Oryzias latipes: one gene and its partner. The protein of the gene in region 1 purifies or fractionates together with the protein of each later gene. This does not show direct contact. Links are inferred from orthologs where the notes say so. Each region holds a gene or a part of one and is shown on either strand. Other genes may lie near its edges.

Region 1 (4,572 bases):
GTGCTGTTATATTGGAAAAATCTCTATTTCATCTCATTTTCTTGCACTGTTTTAAAAGTATTTAAAAGTAACAGAAAAGCCTGTTTTTGACTAACTTTTTTTAAAGGTTTTAGAGAATTTCTTTTCCTGCAAAAACAGTTGTAAAAACATGAAAAAGCTTCAGAAACACATAAGGTCAAAATAGAAAAATAGGTTTTGTAATAAAAATGAGGGGAAAACATCTTAGAAAAACATCTTAACATAAATAATTTATCGATTGAAGTTAAACTGAAGCAAGCTGTGCAAATTTAAAACAATTATTTGAAGTACTTTTGTAAAGAGCCTAATTACCTTCGTATGCATGACATCACTCAGATCTTCTATACTTCTGGTTGAGATTCTGGCTGCTTTTTTCCTGAGTTTCTCTTTATATCATTGAGGTTTTTTTTTTTTAAATGTCAAATATCATTTCTATGTTGACAACTGACTAAAGAGACTAAAAGGCAACAAGATCCTGCAGCTGTAAACCAACCCAAATCCCCCCTACTCCACCGTGCACCATGACCGTGTTTTTATCATTTCTGACAAACACGTCTCTCTTAGAGGAAGCAGCAGCTCAGTTTCCAGGGTAAATTCAGGAGCAGCAGCTTGGTTTCTGCTCACCTGTAAGTCTGTCTGAGTTTCCTGTCGCTGAGGCTTCTGTTGTTCCGTCCACTTTCTGCTTCTTGCTGTTTCCTGACGATTGTGACGAGCTGAACAAGAGACGGAAACAAGATCAGATTAAAAAAAAAAGGTAAGTAAGACAACAGGCTGAAGAAATCCAGTGAAGGAAACTTTTCCTCTTCCTCTGCGTACTTGCGTCTCTTCACAGCCCCGACTAATAAGTGTGCCTGAGACAGGTGGCTGGTCTTCGGCTCGGTCGCTGAAGCTTTGGGAGTAGACTTCTTCTCTGGCTCTCTGTGGCTCTCTGAAGCCGGCTGCTTCACTAAAGCGCTGTGAAAGCTCACCGTTAAGGAGAACAGAACAACGTGGAGATGTGGGGGGGGGGTTATCTCCTCTAATTGAAATGCAGAGACTAACACCAAATGCTGATCAAACCACGATCTTCATTTGCACGCATCAACATAAAAGGATAGGCTCCAGCAGCCCCATGTCCCCGAAAGGGACAAAACGGAAGAAGATGAACGAAAAAAACCATAAAAGATTCCTTATTACAAAAATCTGCTCACTAACAGATGTTGAGGCAATCATCAGGGATGTTATGGATTAACATAAAAAAGTGATGGAGGATATTCTGTACTCCAGCAGCTCCTGCTTCTCCTCATCCCTCCGCTGCTTCTCCACCAGGCTCTGCTGCCGTGAGACCTCATCCAAGAAGCTGCTCTCATCTTCATCCAATCCCCTCACCATGTTCCCTGTCACCATGGAAACACACCACAGAAAAGGGGCGGAGGCGTGTCAGCTCAGATATGACGCACAGTTATCATGGAGCATCATGAATAATCCTGAGCATCCTCTCCATCCTGTACTTGACGGTCAGCGGAGCGCCTGTCCCACGAGGCTAAGGCAGCTTCGCTGTCACACCAACCGCTACAGCAGATCCTTCCTACCTCACTCCACAGACTTTATAACTCATCATCCTTTTTGCCATACATAAACTCATTCGAAATCTGTTTTTCTAAAGCTGTTTCCAAACGGATTTTTTCCCCGATTGTCACTCGTTTGTTATTGAGCCTGTATCAATCGCTGCAACAACCGAATTTCCTCAGCTGGGATCAATAAAGTATCTCTATCGGTTAGAATTCTGGAAATGTGTCTCAAAAAGAACAACTCTGTGGTTCTGATTTAAACTATTTTTACATAAAGTGTTGGGTTTTTAAAATGTGTGGAGAAAAGGATGCTGCCATTAGGCTGTTTTTCAGTTTAATAAACAACAGCTTAGTTTTCTCCTGTCCATTTTTAAAAGTTTACTGGAAAAAGATTTCCTCACATTTCCTCCCATCAGTTCGTAAAAAGCAGCAAACTTTGAGTCTGATTCTGTTCTGTGAAGGATGGGAGTCAAAGACGCACTGAATTTAAACTGCTCCTCAAATTCCTGCTGTTTCTTGTCTTTCTGCTCCTGCAGCCGCTCAAAGAGCGAACGTGAGTCGTACTCCTCCTCTGGCGCCTCTGAGGAGCACAAACAAACCCGGGGTTAGGCCGACAGACAGAAGGCGCCAAGCGTCGGTTGCAGGATCTTCTCACCTTCCGGATCTTCAGGGTTCCGGACTTTCTCCCACTCCTCCTGTCTCTTCTTCCTCCTCTCATCAAGCTCTGTCTCGGACACAAACTTCCTGCTGAGGTCCACGTTTGTTGCTTCTGCTCCCGCCATGAAACCCTTCAAACAAACATGTTTACTACAGATTATCTACAGACCTGAGAGCGATCATCATCCTTATCCTCGCCTTTTCTTTAATAGGCCAACAATCTAAGTGTGTGAGTGACATTTCTCATAATTAGATAACATCCTTATCTGATAATGGACTTGTTGTTTGTGTTCAGATAAATTTAATAAAGTTCACTTTTCCTGCAGATTGGTTTCTGCAGCCAGAACACTAACCCATTCTGACTCAAACTAATCAACTCAGTTGTAGTTAGAAAACATTTAAAGCAGTTTTAAAAAAATCCAGAAATGTCACATCAAATGAGCTTAACATGTCAAATGTGACCGGTGTGATCGCACAGCTCGCTCCTGCAGGATTCCGGCTAGCTTGTTTAGCTCGGCTAGCTTTAATAATCCTCCAACGATCGAGGCAGAAGACGCGACATTGTCACGTTTTAAGAGGTAAACTTTCAGAAGCGAAACTGAAAAGCATTGATTTTAACGCTGAAATGTTTTAAAAACACAATTTGTTTGTGGCAGAAACTCACCACCGTAAAGGATCTAAATAGCACCAGACGGGTTGTGTTGCAGTAAAATCGTTCCGTCGCGACGCTGGACGAGCCAGATAGTTCCTATTAGGTTATAGTTTGAAACGAAACCAAAAAAACAATATTAAAAATACATTTTAAAACTATTCATTGAACTAGAAACAAAGTTTAAAAAAACTTTGATGTCAAATCATCAATAAAAATATATGTATTTTTATAGGGGATTTAATCTTATCGACTTATTGAATCGCATAACGTTAAGAAGTGTTCATTCTATTCTTGTGGTGACCACGAGATGGCGCCAAATACACACAACAATGGAGCCGGGAATTTTTTAATGCACATAAGTACACTGTGTTCACTTTATGCTTTTATTCCAAGATAAGGTACATTTACGACACATCCCTTTTAGATGATGTTGAGTGATTCAAAAATATTCTTTCTTAAATTTTTTTGAATAAATTTTTGGAAAAATACCTGAACTTTTTAAAATAATTTTACAAAATATTGTTAAACTATAAAACATAAATACCATATGTTTAAAATAAAAAAAGACAATTACTAATCTGATATTGCCGGACAACCCCCTTTAGATTTTTAATATCACATTATACTAGTTTAATTGGTTTTATAGGAGGGATGTCATGTTGTAAAACATCAATAATTTTGACTGTTTTTTTGTTGTAAAATCAAATTTCACTCTTACATTTGATCTCTTTCATCGGATTATGCCTTTTTTTTCCTCATCACATCATATAAATTGGATCAAAATTAAATCAAATTATTGTTATTAATCGTCTTCATATATGACTGCACTGAAATGTGCGCTTTGAATCATTTTAAAATAGGTTTTTGTCCATCTTTTCATCATTTTATTTGTGTTACCTATCCCAACTATATATCTACAAAAAACACATGTTATTGATTATTATTTTCATGTACTTTTAAATTGTTTGTTGCAAAATATTTTTGTAAAGATGAAATAAATTAATGTGTTTGTGTTTTCAACCATAATAGTTGTTGATGCATTTGTGATGATGAAACTTTTACTAACATTGTTATCATTAAAACTTTATAGATTATTGTAAAAAATAAAACTATATATATTTATTTTATATATTTATTGGCTGTCTATGCGGCCGTTCACGGAGGGGGAGGTTCCAATTATTAGCGTTTCCAGCATCCTGTTTTTGTACTCGGCCTATTTCTCATTGTCCATTGCCATCAGTTAGGGGGTGGGAGGTGTGAAAGGAGTGGGGGGCTAGGTACGGGGAGGGGGGCCCTATTTATTTATTTATTTTTATTTATTTATTTTTAAATCGTCAATGCTTGTTTTTATACTTTGTTGTGTTTTAATGTAAAGCACTTTGTGTTATATTTTTATATGAAAAGTGCTTTATAAATAAAGTTTGATTTGATTTGATTTTGGTTTGGGGTGATTTCTCAAGTTTTTCTTGGATTTTCTGTGGACATGTACTTTAGGGAAAATCTTTCAGAATATTTTCTCCACCTTTGGAGGACAAGATGTGTCTCCTAAACCCTGACAGGCCAACTGTCCAAACCAAGCTGCATAAACAAATCTTTCTAGGTTGTGATGTGATGCAGATGTCTGCAGCCAAGTGACAGCTCAGTGGTCTGACAACTCCTGAAATATCCTTAGAACCTGTGGCTGTTGTCATCACT
Region 2 (4,549 bases), about 17 Mb from region 1:
TAGGTTTTTTTTTGTCTGAATGTAGAGAGAAATAAGATTAAAACCATGAGCGTACTCACATCATAGCCAGCAATGAGGAGTCCCACTCCGTAGGGCCTCCTTCCATACCTCTGTGTTGGGATTTGGGTTTCTGTAAACTCAGTCAAGGATCACTGCTGCCGTTTCCATTTCTGGAAGCAATCTAACAGAAAAGACCCAACTCCTGGTTGTCCAACTTAGTTTTACAAACTCAGCTTTTTCTTGTTTCTTGTAACGTAGCTCCTTGAACAGGAGAGTGTATTTTTAGAGGATACTGCTGCCGATTAAAGACACGAGGCGGGATGTGGGGAGAGGCCTGTCGAAGACAAATCTGGAGTCCAAGCACTCCTGACGCATGAAGTTACTGCAAGACAGAAAAGGTTTTGGTCTTCAGACAAAAGGCCGTTCTCAGGTTCGTGCTCAGCACTTGACTGTAGATGCTGCTAATGATGAGGCCAACAGCAAACATTCAGCTGCTTCTTCATCGTTACAGAACAGAGCTCCATACTGCAACGTTTGTTTGTTTCCGGATTCTGTAGTCCGGGCAGAGAATGAGAGCTGCCTGTTGGTTGTTTCTCATTATTAGAGAGGAGAAAAGTGAACTGGGCTCTCATCGGCTCTACAGGCAGTTTCCTGATTGGTTTTTCTGCTAGTCCTGTAAAAACACTGTCACAGTCATCAAGTCCACTAAACGTGAATGCATCAACTAGTTTCTCCAAGCTCTGTTCAAGACATCCGATCTTTAATACTTGAACTATTTTTAAGATGTTAGTCTGCAGATTTGGTGACTGCCTTAATGCATTTATCAAAACATAGGACTGTATCCATGACTACACCCATGTTTCTGGCCTAGTTGGTGGTTTTTAGATGAATAGATTGAAGCTCTATATGACATCAAACCACTTCTCTTTAGCCCCAAACACAACAAAAAGTGTCTATTCATCATTTTCCAAATATGTGTTTCTGCAGCTCATCGCTTCTCCAGTGGATGGATCAAACGCAGAGAACACTGTTCACCAATCCAGGAGCGTAGCTTTAACTTTCATTTTAAATACGACAAAATGTAAAAATGGATGCACTTAAAATGCGTGCAGGCAATGCGCATCTTGGCTGCAGTTTTTGTGCTGGTTGCAAGTAAATACATGCGAATAACATCAGCCAAGGCAATAACCTCAGTTTTGTGTTTGTTCAGCTGAAGTAATTGAGGCACATCCAGTCTTTCATATATTAAATACTTTTACCAAGAGCTTGTAGAGGGCCTTGCTCTCCTGTGATTTCTATATCTGTTTGTCATCTGTGTAACGCCATAAATTAACCAATGTTAGTGTTTAGATGTACAGTTGACACCCATGAAAAGTGACATTTCTCCCCAAACACAAGAAGTTTAACACAAGAAAACATGGAAAAAATGTTCAGGTCCATGGAAGTCGCTGCAACTCACCAGAGCAGCCGAGCGTCCGCCGTCAGTCCAGCAATGGAGATGCCAATGTGGTTATCAACATGAAGGATCTTCTTCTGGTGGGCAGCCAGCTCAGACTGGGCTCTCTGCAGACCAAAAAGGCACAACAGTAATGTGTGGTGTGTTACAGATCTTTAACGACATGTTTTAATTAATAAGAAAGACAGGAAAGTGCCGGCTAGTATGAATATTAATGGGTGTAACCAAACACTGTCATGGAGGTTAAGGCTCAAATAACACTAAAGGAGAGTTGAGCACGTGAAAAGAGCCGTTTCAGCGTAATGGAGGCTGGCAGCAGTTCTAGTCGTGTTGAGTGACGTTACCTTAAGTGCAACCAGGACCGCGTGAGTTCTGGACTTCAGTCCGACGGTTGCAGAACCTTGTTTCACAGCCTCCATGGCATATTCGATCTGATGAATGCGGCCCTGCGTTTGCACCGACAAACCAAACAGTCAAACTACACACAGCCGGACAAAACCAACACACAAACAACAACACACGCTCCAGTAAGTAAAGGGCAGCTTACCTGAGGACTCCATACCGTTACGTCGTTGTCGTACTGATTGCGGAACTAGGAGGGAACACAAACGCGCGTTATGATAATAACACAGCATCCTTCTCATGATCTACAGCCAGGCTTACATAGTTGTCCTGCATTAGTACGGTTAGTGTTCTCGTCTCTAGACTCCAAACCAACTGCACCGTGTTCGCGGTCAGAACGTCTCATAAGGATTGGAAGGACGCGTTTCAATTACTACAGACTGAATAATTAATCAACCTGTTCGTGTCATCCTCAAGAAAAACGATTGAATCCAGCAGTGGATGCAGCAAACCAGCTAGCTACCTGCTGCTTCTACTAATTTAGTTCGGTTCTTATTATCTGTAATAAAATCAAATGATTTAATATGAATATCATCATCATGATACGTGAAATGATCCCAATGGCTGTAACTCCATAACTGACGGACTACGTTGTGTTTTTAAATCTAGAAGAAAGCGAAGAGCTGAAGAAAAACGAAAGTGAAGACATGACTGGACTCCCGATGCTAACTTTTAGCTAGCTGTTAGGATTAGCTTGTTCGCAACAAGGTATTCCAAAAATATTACATTTCTAATCTGCTATTTGCAATGTTTTCTCACTATTAAACCTGTTTTACTTTAACAGTTTAAAGTACTTAACTAACTTCTATTGTTTAGAGTGAGCTAATACTTAAAGCTAATGTTAGCGGCTGTTTTGCTTACTCACAGTGCAGACCAACTTAGCTAAGCTAACTTTAGCATGGAAATATTTTAACAATTTCTTGAGGCTTAAAAAGTAACAGTTTAGGATCGAATGCGTTTTCTTACATTCCTAGAAACGTTTTCTGGTACCGAACGGAGGATTTGTCGTTAAATTTCCCTCACACTTACCATCTCTGCTAAAGTCTCGCTTCCTCCGCCTGCGCCGGGATCTCGATTTAGTTTCCTGGGTTCCTCGGCAGACGGCAGGGAAAAGCAGCAGAAAGCCGATTTCAAACGATCGATGATTTCAATGATCGATGCCTTTGAAGAGCCGAACAGAACCAGCAGAGCTATAGAATAGAGCAGAATAAAATAGAATAGAATAGAATAGAATAGAATAGAATAGAATAGGATTAAAACACAAACAAACAGACTCGTGGTTTAAATGTCAACATAATAAACAAAACACAAGTAATACGTCAGAATTAAAATACTAGTTAGACAATTCTTCTAAACTTTAAAAATATAAAAAAACGTTACTAACCTAATGGCGTCCATACCAGTTAATAGACTAATTAAAAACCATATTATTTAAAATATTGTGTAAGATGCTTAATACTTGGGCAAGACACTGAACCCCCACTGAAATACTTAATATTAATAATTCTTTTCCTTATTTTTTCCCTTTTTTTTCCTTTTAAACATTTTTTGGGGTACAAAAACCATCACTTTAAAAACAATAAACAATAATTTCACAAGAAACAAATTCTATAAAAGTCTTTATGGTCAAATAGTATCTAAAGAGTAAATGTTTTTCTATCAATTTTGATGTTTAATATTTTTAAAACAAGCATGTCTAGTTGTGCAACAGTACTAGGTTAAGCGTGAAACATGCATGTCTTTACCAAAGGAAAAGAAAATCCAAATGTCACTGCACATGCTTCAAACCAAAGATTGATTTCGGCATCTTATTCTGCAATGGTGGTATTTCATAATTTACTATCTGGACCACATGGTTGAGATGTGATTGTGCTAAAGACACTGATTTAATGACAGTTGTATCTGGACATGAAGAAAACTGTTAGTAGTTTTATTGTTCTAAAACTTTAATCAACTAAAACAAAGATAAAAAACAGTGCAGCAAACCTGCAAAAATCTGCAAATAAATAATAAAGTTTTGCATGATTTTATATTGTTTTCAGTCTGAATATTTCACCCTCTGGTGATTTTGTAGGAAGTTTGTGTTCAATTACTTAACGAGCTTTCAGAGCAGACAGGTTAAATTCACATCATTTCCACATCATCCCTGTAGTCTATTTATTTATTTGAAAGCTGATCTCTGAGGTGACCCCTGAAGGGATGTGCTGACAGGCGAACAACAGCAGCAGCATTTGTCATATTTGTGTTATAGTCACCGTTTACCCCGCTGCGGTTTCTTTACACATGAATTTGAAGAAGGAAAGCCGAGAAATGGAGAAAGAGGTTGCATCAACATTTCTTGGTAAAAAGAATCCTAAATAAAGAGTATTGAAGCAAAACAAAACAAAACAATGTTATTAATTCCAACGTCAGGGTTGACTGTTTCTTCATTCAAGTTTGTATTGTGGTAACAACTTTTTGGGGGGATTAATTTATTGATTTTATCTTCTAACATGCAGATACAATTCCAGCAAGGAAATACTGTTTAAATAATAAAAAATAAATAAATAAATAAATAAAAACATTAAATGACATCATAACAATAAAAACGAAAGAATGAAAATATTTCTAACAAAATGTGGGCATGAGTTTATTAAAGCCCACCCCTTTTCCATTTTCCTGCTGTCTTTACACTTCCATTGTAAATAAGTA

What was found. Proteins that work in one complex are often made in the same cells at the same time.
Region 2: the proteins of fam192a (region 1) and psma1 purify together in Homo sapiens (affinity purification with mass spectrometry; 3 studies listed by BioGRID and IntAct, counting the BioPlex papers as one, with this or other methods). This does not show direct contact. The link is inferred for Oryzias latipes from reciprocal best matches to the Homo sapiens genes PSME3IP1 and PSMA1.

The regions. Positions count from the first base shown.
Region 1 is NC_019864.2:25,012,574-25,017,145, reverse strand, and holds the start of fam192a (protein FAM192A), read right to left. Parts: upstream 2,992-4,572; 5' UTR 2,890-2,991; intron 2,357-2,889; 5' UTR 2,351-2,356; coding exon 2,224-2,350; intron 2,149-2,223; coding exon 2,050-2,148; intron 1,395-2,049; coding exon 1,273-1,394; intron 975-1,272; coding exon 835-974; intron 732-834; coding exon 643-731; intron 1-642. UniProt on the Homo sapiens protein: Promotes the association of the proteasome activator complex subunit PSME3 with the 20S proteasome and regulates its activity.
Region 2 is NC_019864.2:7,544,852-7,549,400, forward strand, and holds the start of psma1 (proteasome subunit alpha type-1), read right to left. Parts: upstream 3,063-4,549; 5' UTR 2,891-3,062; coding exon 2,888-2,890; intron 2,049-2,887; coding exon 2,004-2,048; intron 1,903-2,003; coding exon 1,801-1,902; intron 1,564-1,800; coding exon 1,460-1,563; intron 383-1,459; coding exon 294-382; intron 131-293; coding exon 60-130; intron 1-59. UniProt on the Homo sapiens protein: Component of the 20S core proteasome complex involved in the proteolytic degradation of most intracellular proteins. This complex plays numerous essential roles within the cell by associating with different regulatory particles.